Linked DNA regions of Rhinolophus ferrumequinum. The protein of the gene in region 4 binds, or shares a complex with, the protein of the main gene of each other region. Links are inferred from orthologs where the notes say so. Each region holds a gene or a part of one and is shown on either strand. Other genes may lie near its edges.

Region 1 (7,604 bases), on a different chromosome or scaffold from region 4:
CAAGAAACTGCACCTGTAACAAGTAACCCAGATGATTCTGATGTAGTTAGTGACCAACTCTCTGAAAAACATTGCTTTAAAAGTGCAAAAAGACTTAAAACATAGGCCCCGTCTAAGAGCTAAGTGACCAAGAATTAATGAATTCAGAAACATATCTGCCACCTGTTCAAGAACACCACTCTTGGGGTGGCCCGTTAGCTCAGCTGGTTAGAGCGTGGTGCCGATAACATCAAGTTGCCACATAGGCCACTTTGAGCTGCGCCCTCCTTTAAAAAAAAAAAGAAAAGAAAAGAAAAAAAAAAACACCCTTGGAGAAGAGTAGAAAGATTCCAATGAACACAAAGGCCTATCAGCTCCAAGCCAGGTTCCAGCCATCTTGCAGACCCATCTCACTGACCTTGGCTGCCCAGGGTTGAGGCGGCCGTGTGGTAGGTCTCACAGTCCACACAAAACGTTCCTTGCTTCTCTGCCCCCAGCATCTCCAATTTCCGGGTGAGGAGCTCCACGGTCTGCTGGACACTCTTGCCCTCAGCCACAGGCATCTGGGACACACTGGAAGGGAGAGGACCGAAGCATCAGTACCCAGAGACACACGGGCACTTGCTGGGTCATGTGATCACCCACAGATTCACAGCCCCTCAGGGCCAGAAGTTACCTTAGAGACCACTTACCAGGACCCTCTCGTTTTAAAGAGGAGGCGACAGGGGACCACAGTCCCTGAGAACCAGAGCACAGGTCTCAGGTCACCAGTGCAGTGAACTTCCTACCTATCACCGCAGAAGTTCCTGAGCATGGCATGTGTGCCAACATTCAAGAGAAGATTGTAGGGCACACAAACTGAGCATTCGTTAACAGTGAGTCGTAGAACGAGAAAGGATTTCCTTGCAAGTCTTTAAGTTCTGACTGTATCAAGAACAAAGTCTCAATGGGGGGTTCATATGTTTTTCCCAACTTTCTAACACTTTGAACGTTCACTGTCCAATACAGCAGCTACAAGCCACATGTAGCCATTTAAACTAACAGAACAAATTAAATTACAAATTCAACTGCTCAGCTGCACTACCCGCATTTCCATAGCCACACGTGGCTGGGGGCAACTGTATTAGTGCTGACAGAACACTTCCACCAATGCAAAAAATTGTATTTGACAGCCCTAGGATCTAAGACAAAGCCTCAAGTGTATAAACTTTGGGAGAGGCAATAACACGTACAAGAATTTAATCAAGACAAGAAAGCAAAAAATGTTATTTCCAAGATTTCCTTCTCTGGTGAGTGAAACTGGCTTCCTCCTCAGAGAGGGAGGTTACCAAGCCCCAACTATGTGCCAGACAGTGCCCAACGGCCTTGAGATGAATTAATTATTCTGAATCCTCACAACAGCCCTAGAAGATGTCCTATAATTTATCTCCGTGTTAAAACAAAGAAACTGAAGTACAGAGGGCATGACCAACTTGCACAACAAGGTCTCACACCGTGGTGTGGTGCAGCCAAGATTCAACGCCAGAAGAGCTGGCTCCATGTCTGTGGTCTTAACCAGCACACTAGACCACTTCCCTAGGGATCTAGGTGCCTGTTAAAATACTGTTAAGGAAAAGAAATAGATTTCAATGAAAACATGAACAAGTAAGAGTACAGATGGTACTTAGCTATATAAAAATCATAAAGACAGTCATACGTGACTGACTTTTGGGAGACTGCATTACTTTATTATAATCAATCAACTAAATGAAGCTATCAAGATAGAGTCCTACAGTTGCTAAAAAGTGTTACTACTCTCCACCAGAAAAAGCACGGTAAGTAATGATGATGATGTGCCTTATTTTGAAATATAAGAGAACCCCTAAACTGATGCTCTAGGGTGAGAAGTCCCAAGAGCCTGAAAAAGTTGATAAGGGTCCCCACAGAGAGGCCCTTCCTTCTGTCTGCCTTCTCTACGGACAAAACGGGCTTCCAGGGTTCCCAGCCTCTGTGCTGCAAACTTTTCATTCCCATCCCTCACACATTTCCTTCACACTAGAAAACTTAAGGAAGGCTCGGGATGTCAACTGTAGAAACAAAAGTGCAATCACTGACAAACCTGCGAGAACCTGGGCTACCAGGAGTTGTTCCCGCGGACTTCAGACATCCTGGCCTCCAGCCCTCTGTGACTGGAAATGCTCACACTTACCCATTAAAGAAAAAAGAAAAAAAACGCCCTGAATTTAGCATTTTGTAACTAATACCTCCAAGAGCACTAGGCCCATACCTTTCCTTGCCACTCTGACTTATAACGTTAGTGAGAAGAAAACTCCATAAAAATTAGGCCAACCATCTAATTACACATAGTGTAATGCCTGGACCCCAACACCCTAATTCCCAATAGCTTCTTTTTTTCCTCTCTAGACCCAAGGTCTTACAATGGCCAAACTAGAACCAGACTAGAACCAGACAGGCTCGTCTAACTGCATTTAGTGGCTGTAGGAAGGGGCAGGCGAAAGCCTAAAAACGATAGTCTCCTGGTTGCCTATTCTACACCCGCTCCAGCCCTGCATACAAATAGGTCCTAATTCGCACATCCTATTTCCGACCCTAAAGTTCCACCCTGGGCAGTACTATGGCCTCACCGGCAAGAAGAGGTACCAAAAAAAAAATAATAAAAATACGAAGGAGGTACCCAAACACTGATAGGTTCCTGGTCGCGGGGGGGACCCAGGAGGAAGGCTGGCGTATCTCCAAGGAACAAGGCCCGAGAATCCGCAGCCCTCAGGGTGTCTCCCTCACCCACACAATCCGAGGACATCTTGCTCAGCTCCTAGGGACGGCCGACCCTGCTCCCGACCCTCCTCCCGGGTACCCTCCAGGCTCCGAGGGCCCTTCACGACCCCAAGTCCCGCCCCACAAAATCCCCCGCAGTATTACCAAGTCACTCCCATGGTGTAAGGTCAGGAGGGTGGCAGGACGCAGCAGTGGGAACGCGGAGCCCTCCGAACGCTCACATTGGGGAAGACTCCTCCGATGCAAGCGTCGCGGGAGGAAGGGGTTCCGGAAGTGACGTAAAAACAGAGCGCCTAGTCGTCGCTCCACGAGAATAGGGGCGTGTCTAGGCGCTTCGGTGACGCCTCCAGTGGCATCTCTGCCCGAATGTAGTACCCAGGCTTGCAGCTCTCTGGGCCTATATCCACAAAGCTTAGAGAAGCCAACGTTAAATGCAATAAGTGTATTTGGGAGTCCAGCTCCAGGACCTGTGAGCTCTTAGCGGGCGGGACGGCGCTGACGGCACTCCTGGCCTCCGGACGATAGGGGGCGCTGTGACCTCCGTGTGGCCTCTTGGGCGCTGGGAGTTCACTGCGCAAGCGCATTCAGGACTTATTTTCCGTCTCCACGTGTGAACCTTCCCCGCAACTTCTTGGAGAAAAATGCCCAAATTCAAGGCGGCCCGCGGGGCCGGAGGTCAGGAAAAACACGCGCCGCTGGCCGAGCAGATTCTGGCTGGGGACGTGGTGCGGGCAGGGGCCCGGGAGAAGCGGCGGGGTCGCGGGACCGAAGAGGAAGAGTATGTGGGGCCCCGGCTGACCCGACGGATTTTGCAGCAAGCACGGCAGCAACAGGAGGAACTCGAGGCCGAGCATGGGACTGGGGGCATGCCCGCGGCGCCCAGGGAGCGCATCACACGGCTGGGTGAGTGGCGGGGGGTGGGTGCGAGGAAGAGAGCGGTTAGGTGCGGGTGGACGGGTGTGGGGCAGGGGGAATAGCTTGGAATAAAAAAAAGGGGAGGTCCGTAGCACACGCTAGCAAAAGTAATGGAATGAGAGACCCAGTCCTGGAGCGGATTTAGGGTGGTCAGCACCCTCCACGCCCACTCCTAGTTTTAAGCCCTCTTCTAGGCACCCCTTGAAGTTAGTCCAACAGGAAGTGATTGCTCGCACCACCAAGTTCTAGTATTTATCCGTTTGTTCTATACATACTTAGGGGATGTCTACCACTACGCTTCATTCGCACTGTGTTAGTTTAGATGGTTTGGGTAAAGAAATAAACAGGCTAGACATGTGCCTGACTTGCAGATAGTCTAGGAGAGAGACAATCCGATAGGCAAGTTAGAATAATACATTCCATGATAAAGTATAGTTTCTCTGATAACAGTGGTCTTGGTGAGTCAGACTTCCCAGATTGCATGACCTTTTGCTGAGACCTAAAAAAGTGAGTGGGGCCTGCCTGCTCTGAGCAGAAAGTGCAATGTGGTTTAGGGGCTAAAGAGGGAGAGAGAGTAAGTAAAAGATGGTCAGCATTTTCTTGTTAGGGTGGGAGTGTTGACCCCCCAAGTTGCTTAATCCATTCTTCAGATCTCATCTTTAGTTTGTCCTGACACAATTGAACATTGGTCTCCTGGCTACAGTATCTTTACTTGGCTTCCAAGACATCACATTCTTGTGTTACTACTTTCTTACCTCTCAGTATCTTTTGCCGGTTCCTCTTTTGTCCCCAACCTCTTACTGAAGTGCCACAAGGTTCAGTCTTTGGATCTCTTCTCTTCACTTACTTCTCTGGTGCTGTCATCCATTTCATCGTTTAAATACCATCTATTTGGTGACTGCTCCCTTCTTTATATTCTAGCCCTGATTTCTTCCACGAACCCCAAATTCTTGTATTTCAGCTGCCTATTTGGCATCTCCAGTTTGAAATCTATCTCAAATTTAACATGTTCAAAATAAACCTTCTCGCCAAACCTACTCCTCCCACATTTTCCTAATTTCAGCTAACAGTATGATATCCTTCCGTTTGCTGAAGACTGAAACCTCAGACTTTCTCACGTCACATCTGATCTGTAAGGAAATCCTGTTGACTCTACCTTCAGTTAATGTCAGACCACTTCTCAGCACCCTGGAAAACCATCCTGTTCAAGCCACCACCATCTGTCCCCTGGATGATTACAGTACCCTCCTCATTAATATCCCATACCCCCTACAGTCCATTCATAAGTCAACAGCTAGAAGATTACAAGGGACTCAAAAGTCCTAGATCTGCTGCTGTTGCCAGTCTAACCTCTTCTGCTTTCCCCCTTTGCCCTCTTCATTTCCAGCGTGTAGGCTTCATTATTCTTAAACATGGCCAGTGAGGGCCTTTGCCTTGGCTGTTCCTGTCCTCGTACACCTACAGGCTTACTCCCTCGGTTCCTCACCTTCTCTGAGAATCCTGTCCTGACTACTCTATTAATAATTGTGACCCACCCTTGTCTCCACACTCCCAACTTCTACACCCTGTTTCTTTCTTCTTAGCACTTGTCTTTTCACCTAATATGTTATATTGATTTATTGTCTCTCCCCCGTAGAATAGAAGCTCTATCAGGGCAAAAAGTTTTGTCTGTCTTGTTCACTCTTATGTTTCCAGCCCCCAGAACAGTGTCTCACACGTGGTAGGCACTCAGTGTTGGCTGAATGAACGGATGAATGAATGATGGTGAGGTGGGTAGGAGCCAAGTCTGCAAAAGACTTGAAGGCTGTGCCCGGATTGAAAGCTATCAGAAAGACATTGGGAAACTATTGGAGAATTTGGAGACCAGTTAGGGGATTGTTACATTAATCCAGGCAAGAGATGATGCTGATCTAGGCTTAGGCAGGGCTGTGAAGAATTTGACACCTACTCCATGACGTAGAACGGAATAGAATTTGGTAACTGATTGGGTGTTGGGGGTGAGGAGGGGATGCAGCTCGCCTTCCTCCCAGGTACTGGCTTAGCACTGGGTGGATGGTGGTGCTGTGTAGTTGGATGTGGAACACAGTAGAATGGACCTCGGAGGAAAAGAGTGACTTCTCGGGTTGATGACAGGTGAAGTTTGAGATGCCTGTGGATCATCCATGAGTGGCTATACGGGTGGCAGCTGGAGTTAGGGTCAGGAGCGAAATATCTACCTACAAGTACAGATTTGGGAGTTGTTAGCATGTGGAGACAAACTGTCCCCCCCCACACACACACACACCCCTGCATTTAACTTCTGTGACACACTCCCTCTGTTCTTAATGACCTGTTCATGTGCAGCCTTGCACCTCACTGTGTGGAGTATTACATCCCTTACGAGACACTCAGCCGGCTGTCGAGCCTCCCACTATAATCATTTATTGGTCCATTGGACTCTTAACTCCACTGCCTGGCCTCAAAGCCCTCCGCGGTCTGCCCTCACATTCCCGTATTGCTAGGCTTATTCCTAGCTACCGCCTAACACCGGCAAGCCTTTTTGCCAGTGTTTCCCGGGTTTGGAATGCGCTCCACCTGCTCCCCTGCCCGGAGCCTCACCGTCCTCTGCACTCGTCATCTAAATGCCTATGGTATATACTGTCTCTACCATTCATTTGATATATAATCAAGCTCCACCACGTGTGTAGAATAGAGGTAAAGCATGCACAGTCTAGACGCAGATTTCCCGCCTTCGGCAAATTAAGTAACTTTTCTGTGTTTCAGTGTCCCATCTGAAACTGGGTATAATAATGATAGTACCTAGTTCTCAGGGTTGTGCGAGTTACCGGCAGTATTTAGAACAGTTCCTGCTACCTGGCTGAGTATAGTGTGTTAACTGTTACTTGCTGGCAGCGCTATCTTATTGGTTCCTATGTGTACATTTTGTGTCTCAAGCAAGGTTGTAAGCCCCGGGGGGGCGGGGGGTAAAGGGGTGTCGGAAGGTAGTGTGTGCATCATGTTTTACTGCACACATCTGTGTCTATTACAAGCACACGTGAGGCTATACTCTACCTGATGGTTAAACTTAAATTGAGCTCTGAATCCCTCACCCACTGCTTACCTTGCTCACACACTTCATCTCCCCTCTTGTAGGTCCAGGCGTGCCGCAGGATGGCTCAGATGACGAGGATGAGGAATGGCCCACGCTGGAGAAGGCTGCCACAATGACAGGGGCGGACCACCACGCAGAGGTGGCCGTGGACCCTGAGGACGAGCGTGCCATTGAGATGTTCATGAATAAGAACCCTCCTGTCAGGTAGGGCTGACGTGGCCTGGCATTGGGGGTGATAGGTCCTGGGGGCAGCTTCCCACGGGGAAGTTGTGGGGGAACCACCGTAACCAAATTGGCCCATCCTCCGAGGACCATTCTGAGTGAGAATGACCCAGACAAAGTACCGCCTCCCCCTCTGTCCACCTGTCCTAGACCTACCCTGATTACCTGGGGAAACTGCTGCTGGGCTTTTCCATGTCTGGGGAGAGCCATCCTTTTGCATTTGGTGTTGGTGCGCTCAGCGTTCGTAGTGGTCAGCTCGGTTTCCTTGGCCAGATGTCTTGCGTACCCTCAGCTCCGTTTTATCCAGGGTCTGACAGCCTTGGCACTGTTGGTATGTGGGGCTGGATAAGTCTTCTTTTGTGTGGAGGCTGTCCTGTGCAGTGGAGGATGTTTAGCAGCATCTCTGACCACTACCCACCAGATAGCAATAGTGACCTTTCCCCCAGTTGTGCTAACCAAAAGTGTCTCCCAGCATTGCCAAACGTCCCTTAGGGGACAAATTCACCCCCAGTTAGAACCACTAATTTAGTCCCATCTATAATAAATGCTGGCTCCAAGGCATGTCAGCATTTAAGCTCCTGTGGTCAAACTCCTGAGCGTGTGGACTTTGGCCCAGGGGTGG
Region 2 (8,013 bases), on a different chromosome or scaffold from region 4:
CAAAGACTCACTGACTCTTACACCAAAATAAACACAAGCTTCAGTAATTTCATGAAGAGCTACAGTTTCTCTTTCTAAAATAACATTTGGGTGCTCACTTCGGCAGCACATATACTAAAATAACATTTGGTCCTAAATCAAAAAAATAAGATGGAAGAAATCTTATTGATTTGCTCATAATAAAATTATTTCTGTATAACTTTTTCGAGTATGCCCCCTAATGTCCTACAAAAGCTAAATAAGTTGGCGCTCTTCTCATATTAATGATAGTCTTCGTTGGAAGGTATCTAAAATAAAAGAATCACTTCCCAAGAATAACAAAATTAACATGTCTTCACATGATAATAAAATAACCACAAATAACAATAACAAAATAACCATATGCTTTGAAAAAACGTGGGAAAGTTACAACACATTTCTAGATACTGCTACAACTGCCAGCATATTCATATTCGTATATACAGGAGAGCAGTGGCAAAACTGACTCCAAGTTTAGTTAAACTGGCTTCAAAAGTATTACAACTTTGTTAGGAACTTTATGCTCCCTGATTCCATTTTTCTTAGGTTAATATAATGTCTTCCTTAGGCCTGTCTATGACAAATTCATGAGGAAGCTAGGTGATGAAAGAATCAAGTTACTGAAGATTGAAAAAGCCTGCCATAATATGGATAATTTAAGTAAAATAAAATAACCACAATGAAATAGACTATGAAGCTGAATTTGTATCTGGCTTCATACCTAAGTGTTCCACCAAAAAATCTTAATAAAGACAATTTTGGAGTAAAGGATACATTGCTATTCATTAGCTAGAAATGGTTAAGTTGCTTTCACCTGATAAGTCATGGTGAATAAGGTCAGCAAAATTAGGGTCTTCACCCCACCAAAATATCCATAATTCTCTTCTTCCAGGTCTTTGATCTCTCCGCCAAACACCAAGTACATCTGCCTTAAGGCAGCGACTAAAACTGCTCAAAATGGGGTCTTCCTCTGTCACCGGAAACAGAATAGGGGCAGAAGTTGGGCCTTGCCATACATATCTTTTCCATTTAATTCCCGTCAAGTCAGCCTGAAGAAAAGAAAGCATGATTTTTTTTTTTATTACTGCAAAGTCAAAAGTACTCACTATTAAAAGTCCCTTATTTCACAAGGATTAAAATTTTTCAAGATATACTTAAAATATTGAAAGCAGGTTGATCAAAAAAATGCTTAATAATTCTGAACAAAAACAGTGAAAAAATTAACAATGACAGATCACTGAATAGCAAGTCAATTAATGGGTGTTCCAAGGAGAAATAAAAGAAACGTAATAAAGTTAAATATAAATATGTACTTTAATACTGCACACTGAGTAAACATTTCCTATCTATCCTAAGTTCTGTTCTAACTGGTCACATTTGTCCTTAATGTCAAACTTGTAACAGAAAATTAATTTTTAAAGACTCATCATCATTCCATGTTTATAGAAGTCTGAACTATAACAAAAAATTCTTGTTACTTCTTCACATATCCCTTTTAGGAAAAGTCAAATAGCTGCTCACAAAGAACTGTCAGATATGTGCTAGTCTATCTTCAAAGAACCTGATCCTAAAAGCACCAAAAATAGACTGAGTTGGAGAAGATAGAAATGTAAAACCTGCTGTCTTATTACATCTGAAGAGATGCTGATTAATGGACACTGGACAAGAAAACATTTTATAGGGGAAAGGACATTAAAGATCTTAACTTAACATCCTGAAAGAAATTCAAGAGGGAATTCAGTAATTCTTTAACTTAAAGGTGCAAAGTATAGGTGCCAGAAATGAAACTGCTGATACATGACTGGCAGTTTACACTTGCCAACTAGTTCTGCTCCGCCCACTCAATTCCCTTATCGTATACTCTTAATATTTCTCAAAGCGCAGGGAAGATGAAAAAAGGAAGTCACTGAAACTTTAAATCATTGCTGAAGCTAAGCTACCGTCCAATTGAGGGCTAAGTATTTGCAACAACTGATACTGTTTTTAAAGTCTTAAACGGTTGGACGCTCCCAGACATGGGCCAACCTACACAATTGTCACCTTCCCCACACTTTTCAATAAAACCTGGAGCAGGCTGCCCAAAACATTCTAAACATGCAAGCAAAAGACAAAAATATTTACTGCAAAACCATAGAACCTTCTCTCTTAGTACGTTCAACTCTCACACAAACATAATGTTTTAATAAAAGCAAGATGGCTAGAAATTGTCAAAATGGCAAACTGTTTTCAAAGTTTAAAGAGAAAACGTATGAAATGGCATCTACTGGTTTTTACAGAGGTCTGTAGTCGCCCAAGGAAGAAACTAACATTCTGTTAGTTCGACTCATACAAAAAATGCAAAACGAAAAGAGATTTTTAGTACCTAAGTTCCGGGGTCCTGTTTATTGGGGGAAACAAATCACCAGAGTGAGGCATAAAAACAGTGGGAGAATGGGCAATAATGTAAAGTGTGAAGGGATACATGGTCAATGAGAAAAGCAACAGTTAAACAGAGGGAAATGTTAGTGTCCTGCCAGATAAGGAGCCCAAGCTGAAAACAAGACCACGGTGGTGAGGGGGAAAAAGTCAGAAACAAGAAAAAAAGCCAACTCTCCTAAAACAGAGCCCAGGACCGCGGGTGAACGAACGCGTCTCCCGAGGCGGGTGCGGAGCTCAGTCGCAGCGCCGGCTCCGGCTGGGCCTAGCCCGGGGACTCCAGCATCTGGATCAGACCTGGACCCCTCCCCCACGGCCCAAGGGCGCACCTCGCGGCCCCCTCCCCCACCGCCCTGCTCGCCGCGGTCCCCGCCCGCGGCCCCGGCACTCACCAGGCAGAAGAGGTTACAGTGACAATCTTCCAGGCTGGCCCCGTTCGGCACGAAGGAGGAACTCATCGTCCCTCACAGCAGCCGCCGCCGGCGCCACAACCCACCATCCGCCATTACCGCCGCCTCCGACCAGAGAGAGAAACACAGACACCGGGGAGGGCGGGGGGGTGCTGGTTGGGGGGACCGTGGAAGAGGAGGCCGCCGGGCCGCCCGCCCTCCCCACCCACCCCCCCGCCGCCGCGAGCAGCCCCCGCCGCCCGGCCGGCACCCAGCCGCCCGGAGCCGAGGGCCGGAGGCGGGCGGTCCGTGCCGCGCTCACCCCGCTGGCCGGACTGCGGCCGCCGCGGAGCCCGCGGACGCTCGTCCCTGTCTGGGGGACAGAGGGGATGTGTGCCCCTTCCACAAGAAAAATAATAAATTACACAATAAATAATTAAAGTCGAGTCCGAGAGGGCAGAGCCCAAGCCCTGGAGGGTTCTCCCGGGCGGGGAGGCGCCCGCAGAGGGGCGGGAAGGGCGAGAACCGGAGAGAAGCCCAGGCCCCCGGCCCGGCAGCGGCGATGTCCTTAAGCCCAGAGTCTCCTCAGTGGCGGAGGTGGTGGTGGTGTCTGCGGGCTCAAACCATTCTCTGGCTGTGTCTTCGTGTAGTCCCTGGGCCAAGCCGGCCTAACGTCTCCTCTCCTACGGCCTCACAGCCCGGACGCCGTAGTCTCCCCCATTTTGTGGGCCCAGCGGGCTGTGTTTTTCCCCCTTTAATCCGAATTCACGGGTTTTCCCTTCGCTTTAATGGCGGCCACAGGGACCAGCTCGCCCTCTCTGCTCGCCCATTGGCCGCCTTGAGGTCACGTGGGCCCGGGCTCCGTGGGGAGGAGGAGAGAGAAGGGAGCGAGGGAGGGCCGGGAAGCTTTCGGCGAAGGCGGTGAGCCCGGGGGACTGGGCAGCCAGGTGGTGGCTACTAAGATAGCGCCATCTGCTGGGTACCCCGGCCAGTGTAGGATGACCCAGGGCCCTGGCCCTGTCTTTCTACTTGCTCGGAATTGACAGTGCAAGAGCTTTACATCACAACTCGGAGAATTACGTGGAAAGCAGTTTGAATTCTTTGGAAGAGAAAGTGTTGAAAAAATTCCAAGGTTTTCTCATGTATTTCACGAGGCCGCGGGGGTGCAGCGCAAACTCCTGGGCATGGGAGTCAGACGATCTGAGATAAGACTCAGCCACTTGAAAGTTGTGATATTAAGAAAGAAACAAACGAAACAATATAGCCTGGTGTTAGAGACACACCGCTTGGGTTCGAACCTTCAAGGAGTCACTTACCGATTTATGTCTCACTTTCCTCATCTGTGAAATGAGGAAAGCATACATACCCCCTACCTCACAGGATTGTTGTGATAATTGAGTTAAGACAAATACAGCATGGTAGCCCAGTACCCGGCACAGATAAGCATTGTTAAGAGTTATCTATTATTGTTGTCATCGTTACCTCATGTGGTTATTGTGAGGACTAAGTGAACCAGCGTTATTTAAAGTGCCCACTAGAGTGTAATCTCCGTGAGAACTGGGACTTTGTTTTGTTTACCGCTCTATCTCTAGTGTCTACAAAAGGTTCCTAGCACACAGTAGGTGCCTTATATTCGTAAATTTGCAAGTGAATGAATGGCAAGAAGTAGAACCAAGTAAGATGTTAGTTTCCGTCCCCATAAAACACTCAGTTCTTGCCTGAATTGCATTTCAATGTAGGAGTTCAAACATTTTTTCCTGAGAGTTTTAGGGAGGAAAGAAAGAAAGAAAAAGCAAGGGAGGGGGTGAGGGGGAGGAGGGAGGAAGGAAGGAAGGAAGGGAGGGAGGAAAGGAGAGAGGGAGGGAGAAAGGGAGGAAGGAGGGAGGGAGAAGTAAAGGTGATTCAAAAGTTAAAAACATCAGTGATTCAGGACTTATCATAATTTTAAATCATAACTGCCTCTATAAAATAAATGGTGGACTCTTCCACGTGACTTCTTCAGCCACAGAATGAAGCGCATTTCTCATCCATCCATTCATTTGTCTACGGTGGTTAAGAGCACAGATCTTGAAGCCAAGTGCCTGTAGAAAAAGTTGTGCTACTTACTACTAGTTGATCTTGGATCAAATTTGACTTTAGATCAAATTAATTACTCTCTCAGTTTTCTCATTGTAAAATGGGCATAATAAAAATACTTTTCTCCTAAAGTGTCTCATGAAAGAAACAGTGTAGGTATAGCTTGCCACAGTGCTTACTAAATGTTAGCCATTAACATACTTTTTAAAATCATTATTGAGCACTTGTGTGCATAACTGAGTGTGTTGCTAGGCCTGGGATACAAATACGAATAAGATAACTGCCTGTCCCTCAAGAGTCCTGAAGAGAGGCAATAAAGGAACTATTTCCCACAGAAAAAGATAAAATACAATGGAGGTAATTGCTTGAATAAGGTATGTATCAACTATGGCACAATAGGAGCGCTGGAGGAGGAGCACCAAAGTCAGAGAAGGCATCTTGAAGTAGGCAGCATTTGAAATCAGATTTAAAGGATAAAATGAATTCTTATAAAGCCCTTTGAAGCAGTTAAATCTTATTAAACCCATTTCAGATCTAAAGGCCACATATCAAAGTCAATTATACAACCAGGACTAATTCAATCCAGGAGCTCAAATCAACTAAGGTCCACATCCTTTCTAACTGAGTGCCAGCACCAGGAGGCAGCAATCCCCAGACCCAATAAGGTAAGAGCCTCTGCTCATCTCTTTTCCTGAGAGAATACTCAGACCTTTGTTCCCACTGCTTTAGTCACTCTTCAGTGTCCTACCCCACCTCTTATTTTATCCAAAACATAGCCATCCTCTTTAGAAGTCTTGCCCTCCCATCACCCAATTTGAGCATCTCCCTCCGGACTCCAGAGGCAGGTACAATCTGCCTGAAACCTACTACGTGCACAGGAACATTTGACTGACCTTTCACGTGAATGTCAATCTTCTCAGAAAAAGCGGGGCGACAGGAGAAAAGAGACAAGAAGGGAGGAAGATCCAGAGGAATAAGTCTGAGAGAGGGTCATGGAAAGGAGCAGAATAGAGAGAGAGGGAGAAAGAGAGAGAGAGGTGAAAAAGCAGGAGAGGTTGAGAGAGAAAATGGAGAAGCAAAGTGGAGGAGAGGGACCAACTGTGAGGGGAATGGAAACATCATGGGGACAAGAGAAGAGAGCAGTATCAGCACATAGAAAAACCACCTTATGTCAGTAACCACCTACATTCTCTTTAAATGATATTTTGTGTGATTTAAAGAGTAATGGAAATAAAAACAGTATATGCACATTGTCAAAAATTCGGAACATACAGAAAAGTGTAAAGATAAAAAATAAAAATGCATATTACCCTCTAAAAATGCCTATAACATCACCATTCATAATTAAACATCTTTTAACATTTTGATATATTTCCTGCCAGCCCTGTGTGTGTGTGCGTGTGTGTGTGTGTGTGTATTTTCTACATGGTTGAAGTTGTATTACATATACATTTTACTATACACTTACTGACCATCTAGTATGTGTCAGATCATGAATGGACAAAGCACAGGATATACAAGGAGCTTATAATCTTGCTAGATATGGCACTGGGATCAAAACGCCAGGCCACGCCTGCCAGCTCTCTAACTTCCATTTACTCCTTTGTAAAATGTGTATGTAACAGCACCTAAATGTTAGAGCTGTAACAATTAAAAGAGATAATTCAAGTAAAGTAGAAGAGCCAATTGGGAATGTTAAAGTGAATCTTAGGTGTTGCCTGGTCAATAATCACCTATTGTCTTCGATTCTTTGAAATATGGATTTGTTCACTGATCTACATTTAAAATTGTTCTTTAACTCTTTCAGCCTTTTAAGGGCTCCATTCTGAATGGGATAGTGGAGGCATCTAGCTTCCAAAAAGGGTGGCAGAGTTACATCATCTGAGACAGAGAAAGTCCAGGAACGGGCAATGTCTGATCTTAGGTCTAATGCTTCCCACCTGATCCTGAAAAATCCCAGGGTCTAGAGTAGCACAGTCCAGTAGAAATATAATGAGAGCAAAACAAGTAAGTAAAGATTTTTCAGTAGCTACATTTTAAAAACATAAAAAGAAATAGGCTAAAATTAAATTTAACTATATATTTATCTCAATGTAACAGAAACATTATCATCTCATCTGTAGTCAATATAAAAAATTCAGACAGTTTGCTTTTCTTTTTTTAACCAAACCTTTAAAATTTGTGTGTATTTTCACTTATAGAACATTTCAGTTCAGACTAGCTACATTTCAAGTAACCACGAGCCACATGTGGCCAGTGGCAACTGTATTGGCTAATACAAGTCTAGAGGCAAAAGCTGAAAGCTAAGGACCAATTAAGCTGTGGAGTGAGGGGTCTTGAGCCTGGGGACAATATTGATTTTCTTAAGGTCATGTTAATGGTTTGATGTTCTACTTAATAAAAAATAAATAAAAAAGGCTGAGGAGTTACAAACCATTTTATTTAGTGAATGCACAGACACTACTTTGTTGAATATAGAAGTAAACAAAGTAAATTAGCAAGTTGAGAAAGCTAAGAAAACATTTCAGTCTAAGCATCAAACATCCTGGATTGACTTGTAAGTTGCCCTGACTTGCCATTTTTCTTGGTAGTATAGAAACTATTCTCAACCTCAAGTTTATTTCTCGATAAATATTTTATTTTAATATTAAATCTGAAGTCAATTCCCCCCAATTTCCTCACTTTGAAATTTGGTTTGTAAACCTTAAGCAAATCAGATCTCCCCTCTCCCTAATTTTATTCTACTTGAGCTGGTCATTTGACTCCTCTGGATCTGTTTTCTCAAGCATAATGAAAATATTGGCTTAAGTAATTGCTATGATTTAATACCTAATATGTAACACTAAATATGTCAGACATTGTGCTAAGTATCTTGCATTAATTATCATCCTTGTCACAAGCTTCTGAGGTATGTACTATATTATCCCAATTTTCTAGATTGGGATGCTGAGATTTAGAAAGCTACTTGCTTAAGGCCACAGAGGTGTGTAAAACATGGTAAGGAAGCCTAATCTATCATGAGGGGCTCAAGAGAAACTTCCTGGAGGGACAGTTAAAACTCAATCTTAAAGGACAATGAGTTGGGTTGAGCTAGGAGAAGATTCAGGGAGGGGAA
Region 3 (6,913 bases), on a different chromosome or scaffold from region 4:
TCCGTTGGCATCAGCTGACAGTAGCCGGGAGCCTGTGGGGGGCAAACCTGCATCACAAACCCCCACTGCGGGAAGGGATAATCACCGCAGTATGTTAAGGGCCTGGGAGAAAGCAGCCCAGGGGAGTGGCACAAGGTATGCTGAGGAAATGGCTCTGGACATGGGGAACAGGAACAGCAGCAGCTGCAAAGCCACAGGTCAAAGGTTCGAGTTCCAGCTCTGGACTCTGGGGACATAACCAGGAAAAGACAGAGCATGTGACCCTGGGATTCAGAGTCAAGGGTGAGCACCACCGTGGTCTCCCTCCGCCATGCAGGAACACCCTCGGCTCTGCCCTCACCTGACTGGTCCCACTCAAGGCAGGTGATGGCCTCGCTGTGCCCTGAGTTGATAGAGTGCACATCCCAGGGATGCTCCGTGTCCAGGATGTGGATCAGTCGGGTCAGGTCTGCCGGGGTGGGGGACAGGGCATGGTCAGCAAGGTGACAATGACATGGCCCTGAGGCAACCAATGACCCCAGGGGGACTCAGGGAGGAAGCCAGAGAATGTCCCACCCACAGGGGAGTCATGGAGGTGCTGCTGACCAGATCGACGGCCCAGGCAGTAACGAGGAACAGGCCGTGTCCCCAAGGGAGAACAGAGCAGGCCCGGGAGTCTGCCACCAGTGTGTCTACAACCACATTGTTAAGAGACCCAGAAAACAGAAAGGGAAGAAAATGACCCCATACATGCTGACATGGAAGGTGACAGGTGGTTCTTTTTCCTCAGTTCCTGCGCTTTTTAAATTTTCTGTAATGAGTGCACATTACTCGGATGATGGAGAGAAGACAGCCCAGCATCCGTGCACCTTAGAGGCTTTCAAAAGCCAAACAGTGACATGTACGGCCCGGAAACTGAGGCACTAGTCTCCAACAAACCGGAGTGGGCTGCCCACCCTCAGCCCCTCCTATCACACAGGGGTAGGAGAGCATCCCCACAGTAGCCAGCACTTCAATGCGAGGTTCACCGAGGACAGCAGGCAGCAGTTCAATGCACCTGCCCTTTGCACTCCTGTGAGGATGAGACCCTCACCTCCCCCAGTTACAAGTGAGGAAGCCCTAAGAGGGCCTGGATGGGTGGAAGATAGCTCCCAGGCAGGCCTGGAGACTTGGAGTTGCCCAATAGCAGTGTTCCAGGTACTGTGGGAGCCTGTGTGGGGAGAGGAAGGACAGGGAGCTGGGCTGGAGGTGAGGGGACACACCCTGGTCGTCGTTCCGGAGGTCTGTGGTGAAGGCGATGAGGTTGCGGCAGGACCAGGCGCACGCCAGGGGCACTGATGGGCAGTGGGTGCTCTTGGGCCATTTCTCCCACTCGCAGACATAAGCCAGATCCATCTGTCACAGGTCACACACCAGTCACCTGAGGGAGGGAATGACCACCTGAGGGAGTGACAGAGAGGACTAGCTCATCGTAGCATTCACTGAGCACCTGTAGGGCACTAAAAGTTATGCTGGATGCTGGGTCGCCAGAGAATGAAAAGGGCCCAATCCCTGACCTTGGGTTTTGGGGATGGGGTGGGGAGAGCTGCATTTTAAACATGGAGGGTCAAGGAGGCCACACCAGGGAGACAACATATGAGCATGGGTGTGAGGGAGGTCTGAGGCATGGAGATGTCTGGGGAAGAGCATTCCTAGCAGAGGGTACAGCCACCGCAAAGGTACAGAGGCTGGACTGAGTCTAGGGTACTGAAGAAGTGGCCACGCAGCTGAGCTGAGGGTGGGGGTGACGGTGAACTTTCACCCAGAGTGAGGTGGGAGCCCCAGGAGGGCTGTGACCTATTTATGTTTCAACAGGACCCCTCTGGCTCTCTGCAGGGTACAGCTTAGGAGATGGGGTGGAAGTAACTGCACTGGTCCAGGCCAGTAACAAGGTGGACGGCAGTGGCAACTGTAAGAAGAGGTCGGATCCTGGGTTTACTCGGAAGGCAGGGCACTGGTGGGGCTGCCTTTGGCCGGGTTGGCGGGGAGTCAGCAGTTTGGTCTTAGTGTGGGACGTGCTGAGTGGAGCGCTAACAATAGAGGCGAACGTTTCCTCAGAGCTATGTGCCCGGCATCAATTATAGGTTATTTCCTTTCACCATCACAAAAGCCCAGTCAGATTGTTAATACGATCAACCCCCACGTCCCCAATTCTCCAGGCCCTGCTCCAGAACAACAAAGCCGCGCCACAAGCCCCTTCAACACTTTAAGTTCCGCTCCCAAAGCCTTCCATCCCCATCCCCTTCAATCTTTGCTTTCCAAACCCCGCTCCCAATTTGTTCCTTGAGCTCCCAGGCCCAGCCTAAACTCTCAGGCTCCGCTCCAGAGACCCCAACCAATCCCCCAGCTCAGTCCCCAAAGACCTCCAGCCACGCCCCCAACAACCTTTGCTTTCCAAACCCCACCCCCCAGATACCTGGCTTCCAGGACCCCACCTCCAATTCTCCCTCGGTACCCAGACTCCATCACAGGGGCCCCGCGCAATCTTTAGGTCCCGCCCCCCAGTCTCCCAGACCCTCAAGCCTCCCCTCCATTCGTCCGAGGACCCTCCTCAGGGACAAACAATCCCTAGACCCCGCCCCAATTTCCCCCAGCTCCGGACCCCGAGTTGCCGCCAAAAACCCCAGACCAAGCCTAGCGCGGCCCAGGCCACGTACCCAGAACCCTTTGCTCTCCAGACCCGCCCTCTGACCCCACAGACCCCGCCCAGGGCCCAGGAGTCCCCGCCTTCTCCGGGCCGCGCTGCCCTGGGCCGTCAGGAGGCCGGCTGACCCTCCGGGCCGTCGTAGTCCCGCGCTCACCGGACGGGCCCGTACACCACGGCCGCATACAGCACTCGTCCTAACTCCCCGGTTCCAGCGCCACTCTCTTTCCCCACGACCAACAACTCGACCGCGCAGCGCGACAGCTTCCCGGAGACTTCTGGGACGGCGGCGGCTCCGGCTCCGCCCCACTTCCGGGTCGTTTGAATATAGGCATTAATAATTCCCAGCAGCCACCTGAGTTTTATTTGGTAGAAAAAGAAACACTTTTTCAACTCCAGTAAATGACCGCATTTGGTTCCGCTATATGTTACCCTAACATCATATAAGAATTTGTTGCTAAACTTTTGTAACGAGGTTCACCGTTAGTGTAAAGAAATTTTATCTTTACCCTTTAAATAGTTCTCGGGTCACAAGTCGAACTGTGCTCGCTTCGGCAGCACATATACTAAAATTGGAACGATACAGAGAAGATTAGCATGGCCCCTGCGCAAGGATGACACGCAAATTCGTGAAGCGTTCCATATTTTTCTCTTTCCTGGTATCAGGAACTGCGACAAAATAAAGGAAGTGGTTTACCCAATCGAAGTTGCTTCCGGTCTCAAACCCCATCACTAAGTCCTCTAAAAGCTAGTTCTGTTTGTTCTCTACTTCTGTATAATGTTTATAGGTGGGGAAACTGAGGCGCTGATAAGCCCAGGTACCTTATCCAATTGAGGGCTCTTCTGGATTCAAACCCCATCCTCAATTCCTCCTCCAAAAGCTGCTTCTGTTCCTGCCAGACTTTCCCCAGTTTGAAGGGTCTTCCCCAGGAAGAACCCCCGGGGATTGCACGGAAGGGTGCACCGGGCGTAAGGCACCTCCTGGACAAAGGCCTGGAGGCCCTGGGAACCCGGCAGCCTGGGAACCCGGCAGCCTGGGAACCCCGGCTGGAAGAACTTGACACAGCCAGCATATGTCGAGGACAAGACTCGAACCCGCGTGGCAGTGGGAGAGGCCTGTGTGGGCCCCCAGAGCCCCATGCCCGAGGCCGAATCCTGTCCTCTGGGAACCTGGGGACTCGGTCCCCTTCGCAGATGGGAGGCTCCGAGCTGGCGACTCAAATATCTCCTTTTGTCCTCCGTACTAGCCATTTGGATTTCCATTATTCAGCGTCTATCTTTAAAATTATTTAAATGCATATTAAAATGGAATACAGTGCACCCAGCGCCCACTGGTTTCCAAAACAGTGCCCGGATAAAAGGAACCAGGCACCTGAGAGAAATACACCAGCCGAGCAGGAGCATCTTGTAGCGGCAGGAAGTCAGGACCGTGCTCAGAAAATTACCCCACAATGATGGGGATGCCTCAAAGAGACATGGGAGCCCTCCAGGAGAGCTCCCAGGGGCCAATCCTGGAGTCATTTCTGCAACAAAATGAAGTCATACTGGATTATAACCCAAAGTAGTAGGAAGTAAATACCCACCCCTCCACAAAGACATAAATGATTGAATAAATACAGGCACCGCGCCGGGGAGACGTGGCGGAGCTGAGGTTTGAACGAGGAACCAGGGAGGGGCCAGGGCGGCCGAGCCAACCGCCAGACACTTCCAGTCTCTCCACCTGCCTCACTCTCCGGCTGTCACTCAACGCGAAGCTCCTCCCCCATATCCACAGCCATAGAAACTCTTCCTCCAGATCCACAGCCCTACCTTGCAAAATTTCTATCGAATTAACGTAGATTCTCCGCCCTCTAGGAAACTCCCATCCCTCCGCGTTGGCTGCTCAAGGCGACTCATTCCGAGAGGGCAGGTGGGGCTGGGTGGGGCGTGGTTTAACTTCCCAGTGCAGAAGCCTGAAAAGCACCCCGGCCAGGAGATCAGCGTCAAAGTCAGCCGTGAGGAGCAATTGGGACAGCAGGGACCCTGATGTGATCAGATGAGCAGGGCGCTTCCCTCAGTGCAATCATGGGGGAAACAGCAGAAAACCCGGATGGGGAGGTCCTGCAGGACCCCCGGCCAGTCTCAGACATACATAGAGGGAAGACAACGTGAAGAGACGCAGGGAGAAAGCCACGTGACGACCACGGAGGCACAGGCCACAGGGATGTAGCCACAAACCAAGCGACACTGGAGTCCCGAGGAGCTGAGAGAAGCAGGAAGGACCCTCCCCTTGAGCCTCCGGAGGGAGCGCAGCCCTGCCACACCTTGAGTTTGGACTTCTGGCTTCCAGACCTGGGAGACGAGAAATCCCTGTGGTTTTCAGCACAGTGTGGGATATTTCTTCCTGCTGCTTCAGAAACCTTCCACGAGTTCATGCAGCTGGGGGGCGGGGATCATACAGCTGGGAAGTGGCAGACCTGGGGTTTGAACCTAAGCACCAGTGAGGGGCCAGGGCGGCAGAGCCAATGGCCAGATGCTCCCAGAAGTCTCTCTGCCACCTGCCTCACACTCTGGCTGCAACTCAGCGTGAAGCTACTCCCCCCAGGCCCACAGCCCTCAGCGACCAGGGCGCAAGAGCATCATGAGGGCCTGTTGGGCCCCAGCCCTGCCCCAAAAGAAAACCCCACAGCTGGAGACCAGAGCACCAGAAATTTATTGAACTCTCCACTTTCCTCAATGAGCAACTAACCACATACACGGGAGTGGGGTGTCCCCCAGCCCTGCTTCTCTGGACCAGGACAGGGTGACCAGCAAGAGAAAACCCCAAACCAATAGGCTAGAGCCAGGCTGAAGGAGGGGAAAGGTGAGGGGACATGGGGACATGGAGTGGGGAAAGTGGCAGTCCGAGGGAGGGAGCTTCTGGCTGGAAGTCCCAGACCTCCAGTATGAAAGGAGGGGAGAAACGTTGGAGGTGGGGGGAGTGGTAGAGCAGGCAGGGCCCCAAAAGCCACAAAAAGGCACCCGTTGACACACATTCCAAAGAGGGTTAAAACCAGCCTTTAAGCCACAGCTTGTCTAGGGTCACGAGCACTGGTATGCCCACGCGTACCCAGACACACACACACTCTCTCTCTCTCTCTCTCTCTCTCTCTCTCTCTCTCTCTCTCTCTCTCTCACACACACACACACACACACACACACACACACACACAGAGAAGATGGACTGCTTCTGGGCAGCACCCCAGAGACCTCCCCATCCTAGCCTAAAACTGGGAGGGGGTAAAGCAGGGACTAGAAGAAAGCCCCCCAATGTATCAGTTGGGGCAAGTATTTGGTTTTTCTTCCCAAATGGGAAATTTAAAAATCTACAACAAATCACACCGAATTAAGTGATAAAAACCCAGCTACTTCTCACTTAAGCTTCAGACTGGGCACAAAAAACTGAATCAAGAAGGAACATCAAAGTGAACAGACCGGTCTCCCCACCCAAATACAAGTCCCAGAGTGGGGAGCTACGGGGCCCTGGGATAGTTTGGGGCAGCCCCAGCTGCCAGCTGTTCACCTGGGAGAGCTGAGCCGGGCTGGGGCCAGGGTGAGGAGACCGCTTCCCCAAGGGGGTGAGCACATCTTCAAGGACAAACTCTAAAAATAACAAACATATTTTAGCAGATGGTATGGGAAGTCTTGGTGGGGGAGAGGAGCCGGCAGGCAGGGCCGCCATCAGCTGCGCTGCTCCAGGTAAGCAGACAGTAGCAGCCCAGGTGGCAGGAAGTCCAGGTGACGATTGCTGACTTTCATCTGCCTCTTGCCCTCCAGGTCAGCACCTGCAAGAGGGGACAAGTGGGGCAAGAATGAAAGGAACGTGAGAGTCATGGCACACAGAGGCACCGAGTTCTGGCTCTTCCCTGCCAGAAGTCACTGCAAGCTGGCACTTAGGGTCTGTCTGATGTGACCCCCTCCCCCGCCCCAGGTCCCAGGGCCAGACTCCCGCAAAGAGCAGTTGCTACGTTAGGGCCTCCCTCTGCACCCTGTTTCATCCTTTGTGTCCTTCATCCCGTGTTTAGATGGGCACACTGACACAGAGGCTGGAGGCCAAGGGGACACGGGCCCTGAACAAGTGTCGCACCTCTTTCCTGGTCCCCTGCGTCCATACCTGCCCTCAGGATCTCTGAAGCTCAGTCCTCCCCTGGCACCTCCTCCGTGCAGGCCCGGCTTTTCCCTCTCCCCTGCTCCCCATCTTGCACCCCCAGCCCAGTCCCTCCATCCTAAGCC
Region 4 (6,907 bases):
CAGAGATTAGGGCAAGCAAGAAATTATGCGGGGAAGTTTTTTCCTTGTGCTCTTCTAGGGGCAACTTACGTGTAACAACTATACATCCCTACCAGACAGCAATGGTAATGCCTAGCTTCTCATGATGGGACTTGGGGAATGGGGGCAGCAGGACAGTGACTCAGTCCAACCTGAGCTGCATCAGCACCAATGCGGGCAGCATCTGTTGTCAGTTGCTTCTCTTGCTCTTCAACCTCAGGGTCAGGCTTGGTTCTCAGATGGTCGGGGACCACCTCATGGCTGAAAACAGGCACTCGTCCTTCAGTCTGCCGCTGTAAAACACAGATTTTATTGATCCTTCTATGCACTCCAAGAAGATTCAGTTTGGCCTGATATATAGTTCTTGCCACAGGCAAACAGTGCATTTTCAGGGAAAACACAGCTTAAGACTTACAATATTTAGCTTCCTAGGAGACCAAAATTCAGCCGACACTTTTTATTGCCACACGCTTTTTATTGCCACACACTACACCACATTCAGAACTTCCAGAATAACCAACCAACAATTGTGCTCTAGGTCATCAAAGAATTTAATTTCCCAAGTTGCACCCTTCTCCTCCTCTTACCATGAGATCTTCATCACGGTCTGGGGACAACACCAGTGGAATGATGACCTGGTTACGGAACAGTGGTGTCTTTTCATGCTTCAAGACCTTGTTCAGAGTGTTCAACTGTCCAGACAGCAAGGCAAAGCTGTCCAGGACAGAGGGCCTGGTGGTGGTAAGAAGATGTCAGAATGTTCCAAGTAGCCTCGAAGGGGGTCTTTCAGATTAGGAATACTTGGACTTACCCCAAAAAGACAGCCCATGGCTGGACTGGGTGGGAACCAGACTGGCTTACAGGGATTGTGGGGTTAGGAAAGAGGGACACGCTTTCAGTTTCTGACACAGATGGAGAAAAAAGGCAGCTCATTATTTGAATGGGGTGAGGAACAGTGGTAAAATAGGAACCATGGCTACACTGTTACCACTGAAAATTCAGAAACTGAGTAAAAGCCTCCTTTCTGGCCTGGAAATAGGATCCATACTTCCAGAATAGGTTGTACCTAAAAGACTCAGCAACATCTGTGGTAGAAGATCCAGTATGACCACTGTATGCCTACTGCAGTGGGAGGACACACTAAGGGAGGACCTCTTCCCAGAGAAGTCAAAGGGCGAGAATCAAAAGCTAGGAAGAACCTAGGTTGGGAAACTGGGCATTTCTCTACTTCCTTGCCATGGAGGCCCTAAGCTAAACTTCATTTGTTAAATGTTGGGAAAGCCAGCTCTTTCCAAATCAAAAGATGTTTGCAAATTGATAAATGGTTACATCATTGGAGATATCCCATCCACCAGGAGGCCTGCCCTGCCACCCATGGAGTCCTCCCCAGATTGCCCTGGCAACCCTTACCAGGTCAGCCGGTCATACTCGTTCTCCAGCTTGTAAATGAAACTCCCCAGTGAGTTCTTTAGATCGGCTACTTGACTCAGCAGTGCATCTAATGATGCCTCAAGCTGCTTCTCCTCTCTCTGCACCAATAGGAACACGTTGGTTATCCAAATGGGTGTAAATATGACACATACAGAAGAAGGCTGGAAAGCCAGGGTGACAGTGTGCAACACTAGTCAAGTGACATAAGATCTCACTGGCATACGAGAGCCACGTCGTTTTCTATCTTTGGTATTTGGGTTACAGAGAGCATCAACCTTTAGACCTTTCAACCCATTCACCTGACCTCAATTCCTCCTACCAACTGATTCTTTCTCTCATCACGTCCTAATCCATGCCTGTCTTTTCTCTGGATTAGGTACACTCTATTGTCTCTCGTTGAGAAATTTTCACCAGACCTAATACCTGGGTTTATTATCTTTTGTGTACCTCTGCAGCATATGTACTCCTCTGTCCTAGAACCTGCCTTGTGAGCCTGGCTGTTCTTGTCAATGGCACACAATCTCTGGGAAATCTACCTACACATGAAAGTTTCTCAGAATAGGGCCTTGCACCACACACACACACACACACTCTCTCTCTCTCTCTCTCTCTCTCTCACTCTTCATTTGCCCTCAGCATTTGATGTTTCAACCTCCTCCTTGCGAAATTAATCTGCACTCACTTTACCTCTGTGCCAGTATTCTTGTGCCCCTTTCACCAACTTAGTCAACCTATAAACACTTACTGACCAACTACCAGGCGTGAGAAACTAAATGACAAATGACAGACAAAAAAATGCATACGTCCTAAGCACTAAACAATTGTAAATGCTGGGGTGTCTGCAAAGCAATTCCTTTCCATCTATGGTCTCCAGTTTTACTTCATTTCTTCACCCTTGACTACAGGCACAGGCTGGGAAAGCGTCTTGCAAACACGCCAGCCAATGTGTAGGGCAGGAGCCTTGATCCTGGATTCTACCCACGGCCTCAGATTCATTAACTTGGCTTTTGGCCCCCGCGGCACCACATTTCCGTCACCCCTCGGGCTTCTCTCCAATTACAGATGCCCTCTTATGTCTGCATCCAGCAGCGTCCAACAGCCTAGGCCGGGTCCTGAGCCAACCGGCCACTTTCTTAAGCTATCTTCCTTGGGTTGAATCTCAACCTTCCCCAATTACAACCTGATCCTTCCCCACCCCCCAGCAAGTCAGTGCTGCCTTCTCCCTCTCGACTTAGCCGCAGTCTCTGTCTCCTGTCAGCGGGGCTCCCACCCCATCTCTCAGCTCCGCCTCTCCCTGTCCAGTAGGCCTCGTCCCTCACCCCACTTTCCCCATCCATCAGCCGCGGGCTCTGCCCCTTCCTCTCAGCCCCAACTGCATCTCTCTTCGGCTGGCTCACTCTCGGCCCCGTTACTCGAAGTTAGCTGGCGATCCATAGTCCCGACCGGGCTCTCACCTGCATAGCGGCAGCAGTAGCGGCCGCAACGACCTCCTCTACCGGTTTCCAAGTCGCGAGTCACTCTGACAGGGCTTCGTCCACCAATCAGAGAGCTCAGAACGCGGCCCGCCCGTTCACTTCCGGCTACTGCGGGGTGCGAGGTAGCCGGGTCAGGGGTCACGAGTGGAACATCTTCTCTGGCCTGGGCCGGCGCGGGAGGGCTGTGTGATGGCCTCGGAGCGCCCGGAGCCGGAGGTGAGGGGCGGGCGGGCGCAGCGCTGGTTCCCGAGATCCGAGGGGGAGGGTACGGCGGCCGCGCGCTGCCGTGGCCTCCTCCGGGTCTGGGGGCGACCTGGACGTGTCGTCTGGGCCGGGGACCGGCCCAGCTTCTAAGGCCCGACAATTGAACCTCCTCGTGGTCCGCAGTTTCTTCGGGGGGTTTGAGGAAAAACTCGTCGCTTTGTTTTGTTTACTGAAACTTCATCCACGTCGCCGACTCTAGGGCTGTCGGGTTCTTTGACCTAATAATAATGATATTAACAAAAACTGTATTTTGATTTTTCTGTTGCAGTTTCAGCGGGCAACAGGGCAATATATACTTGGCCGGTTTCTGCATTTCTCCAAACATTGTAATCCCATAAACAGCATGAATTAATTTAGTTCTAGCGCTCATGCTGTGGGAAAGCAGCTTTGGTTTCCTGAAAAATTTTTGACCCAGAGTGAAACCTCGTTCCAATATTGGCGCTGCTATTTAGCTATCTGTGCAACTTGGGCAAGCCTTGACTTCCCAGATCCTGTTTCCTTCTTCATAAAATACCTGTCTTACGGTGCGTTGTGAGGATCGCATGTGTTAAACCAGAAAACGCATGTGACTTATCCATCAGGTGCTAAGGACCACGCAAGGAATTTCATATACATTGTGTTATTCGTACTTGTGCAAGGAAGGTGGCAGTAGCATTTCTCATTTACAGATAAGGAAACTGAAAAGTGAAAGAGGTTAAGTACCTTACCTAAGTGCTACTCAGCTGGGGAGTAGCAGAGTTTTGGAGTTGGAAGTTCTGAGCATAATATCCCTGAGATTTGGAAGGAACAACATCACTAGGAGAGGTGTCCAGTATTACAAGAGAATATGTGAATAGGTGGGAAGGGTGAGGGATGTATATAATGACACAACTAGTAGTTATTACTTATTGAATGCTTACAGCGTACCAAGTACCATTCTAAGCACTTCACCAATACCAACTAATGTGCTCAACCCTATGAAGTAGGCACGATTATCATCCCCATTTTTCAGGTGTGGAAACTGAGGCACACAGAGATTCAGAGCAATAAAGATACAGCTAGTAAGTAGTAGAGCCAGGACTCCAAAACGGGGAGGCCTGGCTCCAGACCTTGTGTTCTTAACCATAATGTTTGTAATGTAAATAAGAAAGTAAGTGTGGGATAGTAAACCTCCAGTTCATTGGGATTTGATATGACGAGGCCCAAGATAAAGTAAGAAACTATGCCTTATTTAAAACAGGGATGGTAGAATAGCCCATGCATCAGAAATATCAGTATTGAAAAAAACCATTTGGAGTTATGTTTTGCTATGGATTCAAATGGGGGAAATACAGGTATTTTGCGGGGAAATAAAACATGCCTTATAGGCAGATAGTCTAAAACAGCACTACCCAATAGAAGTTGAATGTGTGCCATATATGTAAATTTTCTAGTAGCCACATTCAAAAAGATAAAAAGAAATAGGTGAAGATTTTAGTAATGCATTCATTTAACCCCGTATTTCCAAAATATTACAATTTCAACATGTAGTAAATATTTTAAAATTATAAGACATTTAACATTCTTTGTTTTGTATCATGTCTTTAAAATCCAGTAGGTATTTTATATTGCAGCACATCTTATTTTAGACAAGCACCATTTCAGTCCTCAGTGGCCCCATGTGGTAGGGGATACCGAATACATTGAACATTACAGATCTAAAGTAACTTGGAGCCAAGACACATGCACCTGGGGGTCTCATTCAGGTAAAAGCTAAGCATTTCTTAATTTTTTGATTTGTATTTCTGAAAATTTTATGGCACAAGGTGAAGGGAGTAAAGAGTTCTTCTGCCCCTGGGCAGAAAAGTGACTGACTTTTAGAGTTTGTTACAATCTCAAGAGAGAAAGATTGGGCATAGTCAGATTTAAGAAATCATTCATTCATCAAATACTTAAAATATTTATGAGTGCTACTATGGACTCAGAATTGTGCTAATTATCAGGGAGGATGCGGAGCAGTGTAAGACTGACACCTTCCCTATTTTAAGGGAGTAAACAAACATCAAGTTATGATAAGTGCTGCAAAGGAAAAATACAGAGTGAATGAGTGTTTAACAGGGGCTCTTAACCTACTTTATTAAGAAGTGGTGGAGGCAGGGTGGATCAGGAAGCTGCTAGAGAGGAATGACATTTAAGCCTGAAGAATGAGTAGAAGTTGGCTATGAGAAGAGGCAGAGTGAGTAGTGTAAATCCTGAGATGAGAAGGAGCTTAGACCCTTTAGAGAACTGAGAGGAAGCAGCTTCTAGTATGGTTGCAGTGTGGCAATGAGAATAGCTAACACAGAGTGCTTACCAAATAATCATCTAATAGTCCTCAAATCCGCATGAAATGGATACTGTTAGTATCTTTATTTCACAGATGAGGAAACTAAGGCACAGAGAGTTTAAGTAACTTCACTAATAAGCAGCAGAACCAGTGTTTGCTCCTAGGGACTATACTTCAGGGGTAATGGGTGAGAGAGGCTGGAGAAGAAGGTTCAGGTTGAGGCCGTGCTAGAGTTTCAAGACTTTGGCATATGAATAGTGGTAAGGAGGCTTAAGACAGTTCAAGATGGAGAAATCTACATTATTTCGTGGGTCTCTGTTAACAGAAAGCAGCACAAGGGTTGGAAAAGCCTCAAAACATAATTTATACCTTAACCACAAAGGGACAGGTTCAAAAAATAACAAATAAATGAGATGGGGATGTTTCCGTGAGGCTGGAATACATGGTATGCAGCACAGCACCTGATGATGTTTTATTCATCTTGTTATAACTGGTATGTATGTAGGCCTCAGTAAATGACCCAAAGAATGATAGGCTTCCTCTATGATTGTTCTGACTCTCCTGTTTAATTGCAATAACATCCTTTTGAAGTAGACATCTGCATGTTATCAATAAAGAAACTGAGGCCTGGAAAACTTACGTAACTTGTCCAAACTCACCTAGATAGCAAGTAGTAGAACCACATTTGATTCCAGTTCTCTTAACTCCAAACCCTTGCTCTCTCTTTGCCAGACTACAAGAGTCATGTAGCTCAGACTCGGGGATTAAAGATTAGGGACTTGAAGCTCCCTATGAGTGTGGATGCTGTGAGAATACAACTAATTCAGGGATTCTCAAACATTAAAGTGGCAGAATCACTTGGGGAGTTTGTTAAATGCAGAGTCCTGAGCCCTCTCAACGCTAATTCAGTTTGTCTGGGGTGGTGCCCGGGAATCTGCATTTTAATAAGCACCCCAGGTAATTCTGATGCAGCTGGTCCTTAGAGCACACTTTGAAAAATACCATTCTAGCCGGTTAAATTAATTCTGAAGTCTAATGGTTTTGATAAATTACATCTTGAATGTGAAGATAACTTAGAGATGATGATTTGAAAACGTGGTTGTTGTTGTTGAAGCATCAGGTATAAGGGGGAATGTTGTGAGCAAGCTCGAGTTAGGCAAATGTTCCTAGTATCAAGAGAGTAGATTCTATAAGAACTGATTGATGAACTAGACTTCAGCGTGGCCTTGGATAGCCAGTCCATCATTCAAAATAACCTTTGAGATAAGATGGAGAAATGGAAGATGTACAGTTGTATAATTAAGCAGCCTACTAGCTAATAACCTGAAGAAAGTTTTCTAATAGCACAGTGCTCGTCTATAGCATCCAGCTGGTTTATCCCCCTTTTCCTCCTCACTTAGCACACCCTCCCTGCGCAACTGTCAGCGTTACTTTC

Evidence for each region.
Region 1: MED8 (region 4) and MED20 share a complex: the UniProt entries of both Homo sapiens proteins name them as parts of the mediator complex. The link is inferred for Rhinolophus ferrumequinum from reciprocal best matches to the Homo sapiens genes MED8 and MED20.
Region 2: MED8 (region 4) and MED13 share a complex: the UniProt entries of both Homo sapiens proteins name them as parts of the mediator complex. The link is inferred for Rhinolophus ferrumequinum from reciprocal best matches to the Homo sapiens genes MED8 and MED13.
Region 3: MED8 (region 4) and MED16 share a complex: the UniProt entries of both Homo sapiens proteins name them as parts of the mediator complex. The link is inferred for Rhinolophus ferrumequinum from reciprocal best matches to the Homo sapiens genes MED8 and MED16.

The regions. Positions count from the first base shown.
Region 1 is NC_046286.1:11,620,445-11,628,048, forward strand, and holds the start of MED20 (mediator of RNA polymerase II transcription subunit 20), read right to left. Parts: upstream 3,018-7,604; 5' UTR 2,913-3,017; coding exon 2,899-2,912; intron 553-2,898; coding exon 398-552; intron 1-397. Other genes in the region: BYSL (bystin), read left to right, coding at 3,396-3,657, 6,802-6,964. UniProt on the Homo sapiens protein: Component of the Mediator complex, a coactivator involved in the regulated transcription of nearly all RNA polymerase II-dependent genes.
Region 2 is NC_046304.1:26,085,451-26,093,463, forward strand, and holds the start of MED13 (mediator of RNA polymerase II transcription subunit 13), read right to left. Parts: upstream 3,017-8,013; 5' UTR 2,892-3,016; coding exon 2,826-2,891; intron 1,068-2,825; coding exon 833-1,067; intron 1-832. UniProt on the Homo sapiens protein: Component of the Mediator complex, a coactivator involved in the regulated transcription of nearly all RNA polymerase II-dependent genes.
Region 3 is NC_046301.1:62,029,963-62,036,875, reverse strand, and holds the start of MED16 (mediator of RNA polymerase II transcription subunit 16), read right to left. Parts: upstream 3,018-6,913; 5' UTR 2,820-3,017; intron 1,400-2,819; 5' UTR 1,375-1,399; coding exon 1,242-1,374; intron 449-1,241; coding exon 341-448; intron 33-340; coding exon 1-32. Other genes in the region: R3HDM4 (R3H domain-containing protein 4), read right to left, coding at 6,362-6,465. UniProt on the Homo sapiens protein: Component of the Mediator complex, a coactivator involved in the regulated transcription of nearly all RNA polymerase II-dependent genes.
Region 4 is NC_046292.1:30,617,891-30,624,797, forward strand, and holds the start of MED8 (mediator of RNA polymerase II transcription subunit 8), read right to left. Parts: upstream 3,005-6,907; 5' UTR 2,910-3,004; coding exon 2,904-2,909; intron 1,548-2,903; coding exon 1,429-1,547; intron 751-1,428; coding exon 606-750; intron 312-605; coding exon 171-311; intron 1-170. Other genes in the region: KICSTOR complex protein SZT2, read left to right, coding at 3,114-3,140. UniProt on the Homo sapiens protein: Component of the Mediator complex, a coactivator involved in the regulated transcription of nearly all RNA polymerase II-dependent genes.